Linked DNA regions of Saccharomyces cerevisiae S288C. Changing the gene in region 1 together with any one later gene gives a genetic interaction. Each region holds a gene or a part of one and is shown on either strand. Other genes may lie near its edges. The genes, in order: YAP1802, APL1 and PAL1.

Region 1 (4,181 bases):
GGGTAACATTGGATGTTTAGTCAATGGTGCTGGTTTGGCTATGGCTACTATGGATGTCATCAAATTAAATGGAGGCGATCCTGCGAACTTTTTGGATTGTGGTGGTGGTGCCACCCCTGAGACCATCAAACAAGGTTTCGAATTGATCTTATCCAATAAGAACGTAGATGCAATTTTCGTCAATATTTTCGGCGGTATCGTAAGATGTGACTATGTTGCCCTGGGGCTGGTAGAAGCCGCCAGAGAACTAGAAGTTAGGGTCCCCATTGTGGCACGTTTGCAAGGTACCAAAGTAGAAGAAGGCCGCGACATTATCAATAAGTCAGGCGTGAAGATTTATTCGTTTGATGAATTAGATCCTGCTGCTAAAAAGGTCGTTGAATTGACCCAAAATTAAGCTTCTCGAGAAAAACAAAAGAGTTAATAATAAAGTATATATGCTTTTTTACTATTAATAAAGTTTCTTATTTTCCCTACATGTATACATACATATAAATATACTCTTTTGGAAAAAATTTCTTTTTTTTTTTTTTAATTTTTTTATATTTTTCCATCTTTTGATGTAATATAGAGGTTATATAATGAAAGAATATATAAGAGGTCATAAAAAATCATTAAAAAAATGCGAGTTCAGGAACATATTATCGTTTACGTAATCAGTGCGTTATTGGCGGATTAGTACCGATCACACCTTTGTTCATCGATGTGGATGCAGTTTGCTTTGCTGCGACGGCTGCAGGAGTCTCCCCTTTTATTATGTAGTGAATAACCTGTTTAAAAGAATCACCGTTCCGTATCCTAAAGTTAGCAATTCTTGTTAGATGGTAGCCTGCAGTGCAACCCAGGAAAAAATTGACGGAAGCTAACAGATAGTTCTTGGGCTTGATGACAAACGACCAACGCGTCCAAATCAGTGCCGTCGCTAATAAAGATAAATTTTGTGCTCCTGATACCTTCTCAACAGGCCTCTTAATATCATTTAGCCCTGCGAAGACCAGCCCCCACTTCAAAGTTGGGGCCCAGAAGTGTACTGTTTTAGGGCCTGTTTCACTATTCCAAAATCTTCTAAAGGCAAAATTAAAAGCTGATGCTGACATTAAAAATATAGGTTTGTGTTTCTATGTGTCTTGAATGCTTATGCGTATAGTCTTAAAGACTGATTGTATTCTTTTTTTTTATATGAAGTATTTCCGCCGTAATGAAAGGGAAAAGAAAATTTTCTCCAATACTCCAATTGCAACGCACCATATTATCCGGGAGAATACACGCACGCAGCCGCATATATATATATGATGGCCTTAGTTTTGTTTGAGCCTTTCGGTTTTGCGTGACCAAACCAGGGAGCGGCTCGCTTGACCCGCCCACGGAATGACGTAAAGCCGTTAATAGCCGATTGGCGGGAGAAATAAAAGCGGGGCACTCCCAAGATGAGGGGTAATCGGGGTAATAATATCCAATCAAGGAGGAAAAGGGCCAAATGTTACCCGACTATCCAAACTGCAGGGTAACCTTTATTTTTTCTTTTCTTTTACTCCTACCATTTTTTTTTTCAGATTTTTCCCAGTATGGCTTTGTTTTCATTTTGCTTTGGTGGAGGGATAGATTAAGTTTGCAGCTGCGTAGAAAAGTTTCTTTTCTACATTCGAGGAAAAAGTCGACTTATTAGTCTGGTTAACTTGTTATTAGGGCTTCTTGCTTGAGTTATAATTTTAGAAGGAGAAAAAATAAATCTGTAGCAGGAGTACCAATTTGCTACGCTTGCTAACATCTACGAGAGTAACAATATCAAGCATACAAGCGCGACTGTCTCGGCTACCCCTATAATAGATATAGAGGCGTGTTTGTGAAACAATGTCTTCATTATATACTAAGTTGGTTAAAGGGGCGACCAAAATAAAGATGGCCCCTCCAAAGCAAAAATATGTGGACCCTATTCTCTCGGGCACTTCGAGCGCAAGAGGATTGCAAGAGATTACCCACGCATTGGATATAAGGTTGTCTGATACAGCCTGGACCATTGTTTATAAGGCATTGATTGTGTTGCATCTGATGATACAACAAGGCGAAAAAGATGTCACGCTAAGGCACTATTCCCATAATTTGGATGTTTTCCAATTGAGAAAGATTTCGCATACTACTAAGTGGTCTTCCAATGATATGAGGGCTTTGCAGAGATACGACGAATACCTAAAAACACGTTGTGAAGAGTATGGCAGGCTAGGTATGGATCACCTACGAGACAATTACTCCTCGCTAAAGCTGGGCAGTAAGAACCAGCTTTCAATGGATGAAGAGCTAGATCATGTTGAATCATTGGAAATTCAAATTAATGCCTTGATAAGGAATAAATACTCTGTTTCAGATTTAGAAAACCATTTGTTATTGTATGCATTCCAATTGTTAGTACAAGATTTACTAGGTCTGTACAATGCTCTTAATGAAGGTGTCATTACACTTTTAGAATCATTCTTCGAATTGTCCATTGAGCACGCAAAAAGAACACTGGATCTCTATAAGGATTTCGTGGATATGACAGAATATGTTGTTAGATACCTAAAAATAGGAAAAGCTGTCGGTTTGAAAATCCCCGTTATCAAACATATTACTACAAAGTTAATTAACTCCCTTGAGGAGCATTTGAGAGAGGAAACAAAAAGACAAAGAGGTGAACCTTCTGAACCGCAGCAAGATAGAAAACCATCTACGGCCATTAGCTCTACCAGTAGTCACAATAACAACAGCAATGACAAGAATAAGTCTATAGCGCAGAAGAAACTGGAACAGATAAGGGAACAAAAAAGACTGCTGGAGCAACAATTACAAAACCAACAGTTGCTCATTTCCCCCACGGTCCCACAAGATGCTTACAACCCATTTGGATCACAACAGCAAGATTTAAATAATGACACCTTTTCATTCGAACCAACCCAGCCACAAATGACCGCTCAAGTCCCTCAACCAACTGCTAACCCCTTCTTGATACCGCAACAACAGCAACAGGCTTTACAGTTGACATCTGCGTCTACAATGCCACAACCAAGTGAGATACAGATTACTCCAAATTTGAATAATCAACAAACTGGGATGTATGCTTCTAACCTTCAATACACCCCAAATTTCACCGGCTCAGGGTTCGGCGGATACACGACCACCGAGAACAATGCAATTATGACCGGCACTTTAGATCCAACAAAAACGGGGTCTAACAACCCATTTTCGCTAGAAAATATTGCCAGAGAACAGCAACAACAAAATTTCCAAAACTCCCCAAATCCTTTTACCCTCCAACAAGCACAAACCACCCCGATTCTTGCTCATAGTCAAACAGGTAATCCATTTCAGGCTCAAAACGTGGTGACATCACCAATGGGCACATACATGACGAATCCCGTGGCCGGTCAACTTCAGTATGCCTCTACTGGTGCGCAGCAGCAACCACAAATGATGCAGGGTCAGCAAACAGGGTATGTTATGGTTCCCACTGCGTTTGTCCCCATCAATCAACAACAGCAACAACAGCAGCATCAGCAAGAAAATCCTAACTTAATAGATATATAGTGAGCGATAGATACTACAGTTTTTTGTTCTCAACAGGCCGTCCTTGCATATTATAAACTCTGATTTTTAGGTAATCCCTTCCACCTTTCTATATTTTATGATACTATCCAAACATGTAAATTTTACGTACCATACATATAACCTCATCTATAATTTTTACCCTGATCTAACTAACTTTGGCATGCCTGGTTCAATCTACGGGTTACAGTCATCGTTGAAAACGATGGAAAAACATGTCGAGATTCCTCAATCCATACACCATTATAGTCCGTTTTATCAGCTTCCACTAATTTTTTAAATCTCAGTTTCTTCTTGAAATTTAGCATCGTGCATGGGATAGCGGCTAGTAAAAAAGAAAATTAATATCTCATTAACAAAGTTATTGTACATAATCCGGTACAATATTCTTCAATGTACTCTCTAATATCGAGCACACTGGCAATATTCATGCACACATTCGCCTAATGCTGACGAATGCTTAATCAGTGCAATTACTGCCACCCTCTTGATATGTGGGCTAAATCCTTTAGGACCTGTAAAAAATGCAATCACGTTTTCACATTTTTTTTTTTCTTGCGGAATTGCGGAATTTCCCAGTTGGCAGCGTTATCCGATTTGAGATC
Region 2 (4,569 bases), on another chromosome or scaffold:
CGAAAAGGACCAACTAGAGAAACAACAACTAGAAGCTCAAGAAGCTCAGAGGTGGGAAGAAGGTGCGAGAACCCCTAACCAGAAGAAGCTGATTATGGAACAAAAAAAGACAGAGAAGCTAAGAGCCAAAAAGGAAAGAGACCAATTACTAGCCGCCGAAGAGGAAGCTTTAGGTAAGGGAGGCAGGGGAAAAAGATACTGAAATGACGGAAAACGAGAATATGGAGCAGAGAGCAACTTTTAGAGCTTTACCCGTTAAAAGGTCAAATCGAGGCTTCCTGCCTTTGTCTGATTTTAGTAGTACCGGAAGGTTTATTACGCCCAAGAACAGTGCTTGAATTGAGTTCTCGGGACACGGGAAAGACAATGGAAGAAAAATTTACATTCAGTAGCCTTATATATGAAATGCTGCCAAGCCACGTCTTTATAAGTAGATAATGTCCCATGAGCTGAACTATGGGAATTTATGACGCAGTTCATTGTATATATATTACATTAACTCTTTAGTTTAACATCTGAATTGTTTTATAAAATAACTTTTTGAATTTTTTTATGATCGCTTAGTTAAGTCTATTATATCAGGTTTTTTCATTCATCATAATTGTTCGTTAAATATGAGTATATTTAAATACAGGAATTAGTATCATTTGCAGTCACGAAAAGGGCCGTTTCATAGAGAGTTTTCTTAATAAAGTTGAGGGTTTCCGTGATAGTTTTGAGGGGTTGTTTGAACTAGATTTACGCTTACCTTTCAACTGATTAATTTTTTCAGCGGGCTTATCATAATCATCCATCATAGCAGTCTTTCTGGACTTCGTCGAGGACTGGCTTTCTGAATTTTGACGGTCCCTATTAGCTCCAGTTGGAGGAAATGAGTTACCTACAACTGGCAAGAGGTCTTTGTTTGGATTCAAAATAGGACTTTGTGGTAGCAGTTTGGTTTTATTCAATCTAAAGATATGAGAAACAGGTTTTAAGTAAATCGATACTATTGTACCAATGTTTAGCTCCAATTCCTCCAAAACGGTGGGATCTAATTTCGTGTTCATTTCTATTAGTGGCAACTCTCCGTCCAGTACTGATTTTAAAGATTCAAAAGTTATCGCGTTTGATATACGAGACGTTTTCGTTAATGACAGCAATCTCCAATACATCAGTGTTTTATCTCTTAAGTCAGGATTATTTTCGTGATCGATGCATCCTTTTAATAAATCCATACAAAGTTCTTCAGTTTCCTTTGTAGGACTTCTGATGAAGAATTTTATTGCTGAGTTCAGAATGGAAAATTGCACTTCTAGCGTCTCACTAAACATGTTTGAGGAAAAAACTCTAAATAACTCCAGGTAGTTTGGAATTACATCCGAATATTGCGTTATTATCCAGATCATAGCGTTTTTTGATTCAGGTTCCTGTACAACTTCAGTGTGTTTGACTAGTTCTGTTACGTTTGCTTTAAAATTATTGGGATATTTCCTCAAAATATTTCTGAAAACCGAAATAATCTCCTGGACGACATAATCAACACCGAATTCTAACAAATCTAGTAGAACAGCGACACAATCGTGTACAGAGTCTTCATCTAGCTTAACAGCCAGATTACCAATGGCTCTGACTGATTTCCTTGACATTTGAATATCAATATCTGTAGCATATTGTTCCAACTCTTCTAGAATTCTTGGTAATGTTTCCTTGTTAGCTAAAAGATATAAACACTCTAATTTCGTGTCTTTGATGTATATGGGGTCATTGTACTCGATGAAAAAATACGAAATGTCTAGCCTGAGTAGAGATGACTCCCTACTCAATAAAAGAAGAATAACGTTTCTTAATACTAAAAATTGTAATTCAGGCGGCTTATCTAACAAAGCTATTACAGAGTTAGATAGCTTTTCGGCTAGAGTTTCTTTGATGACGTCAACATAATTCAACAAGTACATGATGAATTTTAAAGAGTTCAACACTACGTATGTGTTTACTTGTTGCAGGTACGGTAAAGCTAGTTCGATCATTTCATGGGTATCCAAATAATGCTGCGGCACAACCGAAGTCGTCAAAACTTCCAAAACAGTAGCCTTATTCCACTCATTTAATTCGGGTAAAAGCTCTAGCATGTCAAAAGCGAGTTCCAAGGGAATCCTGAAGGGTTCCATGTTAGCGTTTTTTTCGTGAATGGAATATAAAGTATGTAATGCAGCTACAATGACTTCTGGAGAGCTCGACTGTGCTTTTACAATGTCATGTAGAATGCTTGATAACCCCAATACCCTTTCATGATCAATTTCATCTAAATCCAACAGTGCGTAAATTGCTGTCCTCGTCACTTGTTCAGGTGGAGACTTGTGATTTACCAATGAAATGATACAGTCGAAGGCCTGATCAGATAGCTCTTTCACCGGGACTAATACCAGAGTTCTTAGTGCCATTATTTGTAACTTTTCATCTCTGCTTTTGAAATCGTCCATTATAAATGGCAAAGCCTCTCTGGCCTGCTGAGGTTTTAATGCGCCGATCACCCTAATATACTCATGGCAAATTCTTTTCACTTCTAGATCATCTTCAATTTGCCAAAATTTCAAGAGCTCAGAAAACAGAACGGACATTTCGCCATAGTTTCCTAGAACCAAATTGGCGATAATTTTTCTCAGAGCATTTTTCCTTCTTGTTATATTCGATTTAAACTTTTTTACTCCAAAATGTTGCAGATCTGTGACGATTTCATTTGCTTTATATCTGGCAAAAACTTTTTGATCGGACATAAGCGAAATACGTCCTATTAATGAAGTGAATGTTCTTGCTGTATTCCCTTCTTGTGCAGTAGATTAATTCTGTTTCCAGGCTGCGATACTTTGATACCCAATACTAAAAGTTGATGATTTGAACGATCTCCTATTTCCTCGCACATTTTTGGAGCGATACCCGGAAGACAGAATCGCGATGTTAAGAAAATAGTTCTGATGGCACTAAAGAGATCATGATTAAGGAAAGGTAAGTGATATGCATGAATGGGAATAGGCTTTCGAACTTGACGATTTAGTTCCTTATTTCTATCCATCTAATCCTCCAACTTCAATAGGCCTTATCTAGCTCAGAGCAGTATTTAATTGAGAATAGTAGCTTAATTGAAACCTTACTAAAAAAGTGTATGGTTACATAAGATAAGGCGTTAAGAAGAGTATACATATGCATTATTCATTACCAAGACCACTATGAATAGTAATACCATATTTAGCTTTTGAAACTCATGTTTTCTATTGTGTTGTTTCAAATTCCTCTGTTAGGCTCAATTTAGGTTAATTAAATTATAAAAAAATATAAAAAATAAAGAAAGTTTATCCATCGTCACCTCAATTCAATGGAGTAAACAGTTTCAACACTGAGTGGTGAAACATTGAACAACTACATGCAGTTTCCCGCCACGAGGCAAGTGTAGGTCCTTTGTCCATTTCGCTTTGTTTTGCAGGTCATTGATGACCTAATTAGGAAGGTAGAAGCCGCTCCAGCTCGATAAGGAAATGCTAAGGGTACTCGCCTTTGGTGTTTTACCATACAATGGCAGCTTTATGTCACTTCATTCTTCAGTAACGGCGCTTAAATATTCCCAAAAACGTTACAATGGAATTGTTTGATCATGTAACGAAATGCAATCTTCTAAAAAAAAAGCCATGTGAATCAAAAAAAGATTCCTTTTAGCATACTATAAATATGCGAAATGCCCTCTATTTATTCTAGTAATCGTCCATTCTCATATCTTCCTTATATCAGTCGCCTCGCTTAATATAGTCAGCACAAAAGGAACAACAATTCGCCAGTTTTCAAAATGTTCACTTTTCTCAAAATTATTCTGTGGCTTTTTTCCTTGGCATTGGCCTCTGCTATAAATATCAACGATATCACATTTTCCAATTTAGAAATTACTCCACTGACTGCAAATAAACAACCTGATCAAGGTTGGACTGCCACTTTTGATTTTAGTATTGCAGATGCGTCTTCCATTAGGGAGGGCGATGAATTCACATTATCAATGCCACATGTTTATAGGATTAAGCTATTAAACTCATCGCAAACAGCTACTATTTCCTTAGCGGATGGTACTGAGGCTTTCAAATGCTATGTTTCGCAACAGGCTGCATACTTGTATGAAAATACTACTTTCACATGTACTGCTCAAAATGACCTGTCCTCCTATAATACGATTGATGGATCCATAACATTTTCGCTAAATTTTAGTGATGGTGGTTCCAGCTATGAATATGAGTTAGAAAACGCTAAGTTTTTCAAATCTGGGCCAATGCTTGTTAAACTTGGTAATCAAATGTCAGATGTGGTGAATTTCGATCCTGCTGCTTTTACAGAGAATGTTTTTCACTCTGGGCGTTCAACTGGTTACGGTTCTTTTGAAAGTTATCATTTGGGTATGTATTGTCCAAACGGATATTTCCTGGGTGGTACTGAGAAGATTGATTACGACAGTTCCAATAACAATGTCGATTTGGATTGTTCTTCAGTTCAGGTTTATTCATCCAATGATTTTAATGATTGGTGGTTCCCGCAAAGTTACAATGATACCAA
Region 3 (3,707 bases), on another chromosome or scaffold:
TTTTCTATCCTTATTGAAAGATGCAGATATCATTGAAAGTTCGTCATATTCACTGTGGTTGGCTGGAGACACTTCCACGTACAAAACATATAGAGATCCAATATCTAATTGTGGGAAGCTACTTCTTGGAGGGGTGGATCCTTCGCTGTTTACCGGTACACTGGGAAAATTTGACTTAATTCCTTACGTTGACCCAGTGAGTAATGCTGTTAGTGTTGGGTACCCAATTGTGCCATTAGGCCCTATTTATATTGTGTCTAACAGCGGACAAAGTTTGAATATGACTTCGAAGGACTTTCTGAGCCCAGCCTTACTTGATTCAACTTCTTCGGTCAGTTACCTGCCAACTAGTACCATTATTCAGATTGCCGTTCAAATTGCGGCCACTTATGTGGAATCACTAGATAGGTGGCTAGTCCAATGTTCTATAGCAGATATGGGTGTCTCCTTGGGTTTCAGGCTTCGAGAATTGACAATTGAAATACCCCTACGTGATTTATTATCATCTACTTACGATACATCCACCAATTCTTCAATGTTTTTCAGTTCTGGACAGGAAGCTTGTTTTCTAACACTATACGCTAATACAAATACTGGAGTAAACATACTCGGAGAAGCCTTCATAAAAAATATATATATGGCAATGGACTTAGAGGATAACACTATAGCCATTGCACAGGCAAAGAAGGTTGAAGATGACGCAGTTACTGAAGAGACAAATGAAACTACCGCGTCCACTATCATCAAGAAGATCAAATCTGGTTACATTCCTTACGCAAAAGTGATGAATAGTAGTAATACAAGAAACTTGACTCTTTATCCATCCTATAGGTCAGGCTATATGTTCACTGTCCCAGGTCAACTGACAGCAGCATACTCAAACGGTGTGATTACAGGTGCGGGCCGGTCATTCTATGATACTTCAAGAGCAAGCACAAGTGCTAGACCATCCAGTACTCAATTCGACAGCTTTTCTGTGTCAGCCTCAGAAGAGTGGTCAAATTCAACTAATAGAACCAGCAGTGCTTCGGGAGCAGGCGTTCGATTGAGCAGTCCTTATACATTTAACAAAGATCCAGCTGGACATGTAACTCGTATAGCTTCCTTGCTACTACTTTCGATATTCTCGATACTTATTGTTCTTTGAATGGTTTTAACAAAAGTTCATAACATAAAACCTTTTTCTCCTTGACCAATGCACGTATAACATCATTATATAGCAGATTTAATAACAACATACTTAAAAGTATATATGCGTCATTCTTATCCAGTTGTGTAGAAGCTAGTACTTGTGATCAACCATTGGCAGCCATCTCAAAGAATCGTCGTGCACGGAGCGTAAATCGCGTTACTTTTTTTTTTGTTTTTTTTCCCGCCTCGAGGTTGGTTCAACAGCAGATCATGGTGACTGGCGATAGGTTATTCACTAGAAAATGAAGATACTCTTTCTTGGGAGGTAACTCTGTAAAATTTCTAATTTGTATTTTATAGTGTGTAGAATCCGAAATATATCCGATCTACCTCGCTCTTTTTATTGTTATTTTTATTCGAGGAATTTAAGTGTTTTGCAGACCTATCCCTTCGAACACGTAACGTCATTTTACCATAATCTTCGACTGCTTAATTGTTGATACATTGTAGGTTCCATTACACTTTGCCAGCATTTTCCATTTTTAGAAAAATTGATACATATACGCAAGATTTAGCATGGAGAATAGAAACAGTAGTACCTCTAGTAGGCCATTTTCTGTTAATAACCCGTTTAGAAATGCCACAGTTGATTCAAGTATTAATCAGTATAAAAATGACTCCCAGTTTCAGGAGTGGGCGAAAAACCAATCTCGTACCAATTCATTTGATATGCCACAATTGAACACAAGAACTTCTTCACAATTATCATTCCCAAACATTCCAGAGGATGAACCCCAGCGAAACGCAGATCAGCAGGGTGCTTTTTATTCTGGTTTGGAGAGCTTTAGTAGTGGTAGTTTATCACCACCTTCGAGACCTCTTTCCTCAAAGAATCCTTTCCTAGACGATGTGAGTTCTGCAACCGATTTTAGAAGGTCTCCCCCACCTGTTTCAAGGAATAAAAATCATCCCACTGCTAAAGAAGAAAAAGAACAATTAAGGCAAAGATATTTGGAGGAAAGTGACGTAAGTACAGTAGGTAACACAAGAGAAAACACTGACCTACCACCCTCATACGAAGAGATCACTTCAACCAATGGATCAAGGCGTGCATATCCAAAGGAAAAGGTTTCTCGTCCTTCTTCTCACCGCGAACATAGCAACAGCGGCACATATATTTCACGCAGATCTTCATCCCACCATCACCGTGAAGCTTCCTCATCTTCAACGCCTTCTAAGAAGGGAAAGAGAAAAAGTAAGGTTATTGTTCCTAAGAACGTCGATACTATCGATAAGTTAGATGTAACTGGATTGTTCGGTGGCTCATTTCATCATGACGGCCCATTCGATGCAGTAACACCTCATAGAAATAAAAATAACAAAGCTGCGCCTGTTTTAGCATTTCCGGTCGATGGTCCAAACAGTACCATCGGTGGCGCTTCAACCAAGAAGTCTGCCCTGGATGAGGTTTTTGGGAGAGATGATACAGATGATTCTGATATATACCAGTACAGTTCGCAGACTCTAAGGAGAGGTGGTGATACGCAGGACGCAATAAAAGCAAACGTGGGTAACGTCCAACAAATGGATGCCAAAAATAAGACAGAATTGGTTCATGGGCCAGTTACTGCGGGATTAGGTTCTAGTACGTTTTTAGATGGGGCGCCGGCCTCCTCAGCTGCCATTAGAAACGACATAAAAGCCCATTCCTATCATAATCGTAACGGTGGTTTACAAAGAAATAAGTCACTTTCTCAACGATTAGGTCTCGGAGGATCCGGTGATAGCAATGCCCCCATGACAGGCGTTAGAAGAAACTTGAGTTTAAGTAGAGACAACTATGATGTTGGTCACAGCAATGAAGGTGTTAGAAGGTCGAAAACCGTTAATTCTCCTAACAGAACGCATAAGTCCAATTATACTACTGATTTCGACGGCCAAGATGATCACAATGAAGATGAGGAAGACGTTTATTTGGGTGTGCGCTACAATGAGCCCAATATGAAAAAGAAATCGACGGGCAGCAAATTACTGAGCAGAGTAAAAAGTCTAAAGGTCGGCAGGAAAAGTCAGTAAAGTGAGCTTAAAAGAGAGAAAAGAAGCTATGAGACACCAAAGCCAGGCAAATAAAAGGGAGAGATACGAATAAAAATAATTTAAGACCACGTTATATACACATTACGAATAGTTTGACTTTATATATTTACAGAGACTACCAACTTATATCAAAAGGAAAAAATTCCCATTACCAGTTTCATTCATAACGTGTTGAATGCTTGGATCTTAGTACGTTGAGGTAACCTTGACTCTACAATTTTCCATTCTATAGAGTCCCATACCCTTTCTAAATATTCTCGTTTCCCAAATACGCCATAATCAGTTAACCATGTTTTTGGTGACGCATCAATGGCTAAAAGCGGGATATATGAAACCTCTTTCCCAGAAAAACCTTTCTGTTGGGTTTCATAAATAAATTTTGTCTTGGCTTGCTTGGCAGTCATCTCAGAATCTTCAAGATTACCGGCTTCTTTGGCTCGTTGTTTTTCCATGTTGGTATATTGGTTATTGAGCTCATT

Evidence for each region.
Region 2: of YAP1802 (region 1) and APL1, changing one enhances a phenotype caused by changing the other (phenotypic enhancement), as found in Saccharomyces cerevisiae (one study listed by BioGRID).
Region 3: of YAP1802 (region 1) and PAL1, changing one enhances a phenotype caused by changing the other (phenotypic enhancement), as found in Saccharomyces cerevisiae (one study listed by BioGRID).

Annotation. Positions count from the first base shown.
Region 1 is NC_001139.9:974,252-978,432, reverse strand, and holds YAP1802 (Yap1802p), read left to right. Parts: upstream 1-1,851; coding exon 1,852-3,558; downstream 3,559-4,181. Other genes in the region: LSC2 (succinate--CoA ligase (GDP-forming) subunit beta), read left to right, coding at 1-397; MPC3 (mitochondrial pyruvate carrier), read right to left, coding at 657-1,097; YGR240C-A (uncharacterized protein), read left to right, coding at 3,656-3,856. UniProt on the Saccharomyces cerevisiae protein: Involved in endocytosis and clathrin cage assembly.
Region 2 is NC_001142.9:444,110-448,678, reverse strand, and holds APL1 (Apl1p), read right to left. Parts: upstream 2,757-4,569; coding exon 654-2,756; downstream 1-653. Other genes in the region: LSO1 (Lso1p), read left to right, coding at 1-202; SAG1 (Sag1p), read left to right, coding at 3,818-4,569. UniProt on the Saccharomyces cerevisiae protein: Adaptins are components of the adaptor complexes which link clathrin to receptors in coated vesicles. Clathrin-associated protein complexes are believed to interact with the cytoplasmic tails of membrane proteins, leading to their selection and concentration.
Region 3 is NC_001136.10:1,169,826-1,173,532, reverse strand, and holds PAL1 (Pal1p), read left to right. Parts: upstream 1-1,707; coding exon 1,708-3,207; downstream 3,208-3,707. Other genes in the region: YPS7 (putative aspartic endopeptidase), read left to right, coding at 1-1,147; mitochondrial 37S ribosomal protein mS43 MRP1, read right to left, coding at 3,390-3,707. UniProt on the Saccharomyces cerevisiae protein: Involved in the early step of endocytosis.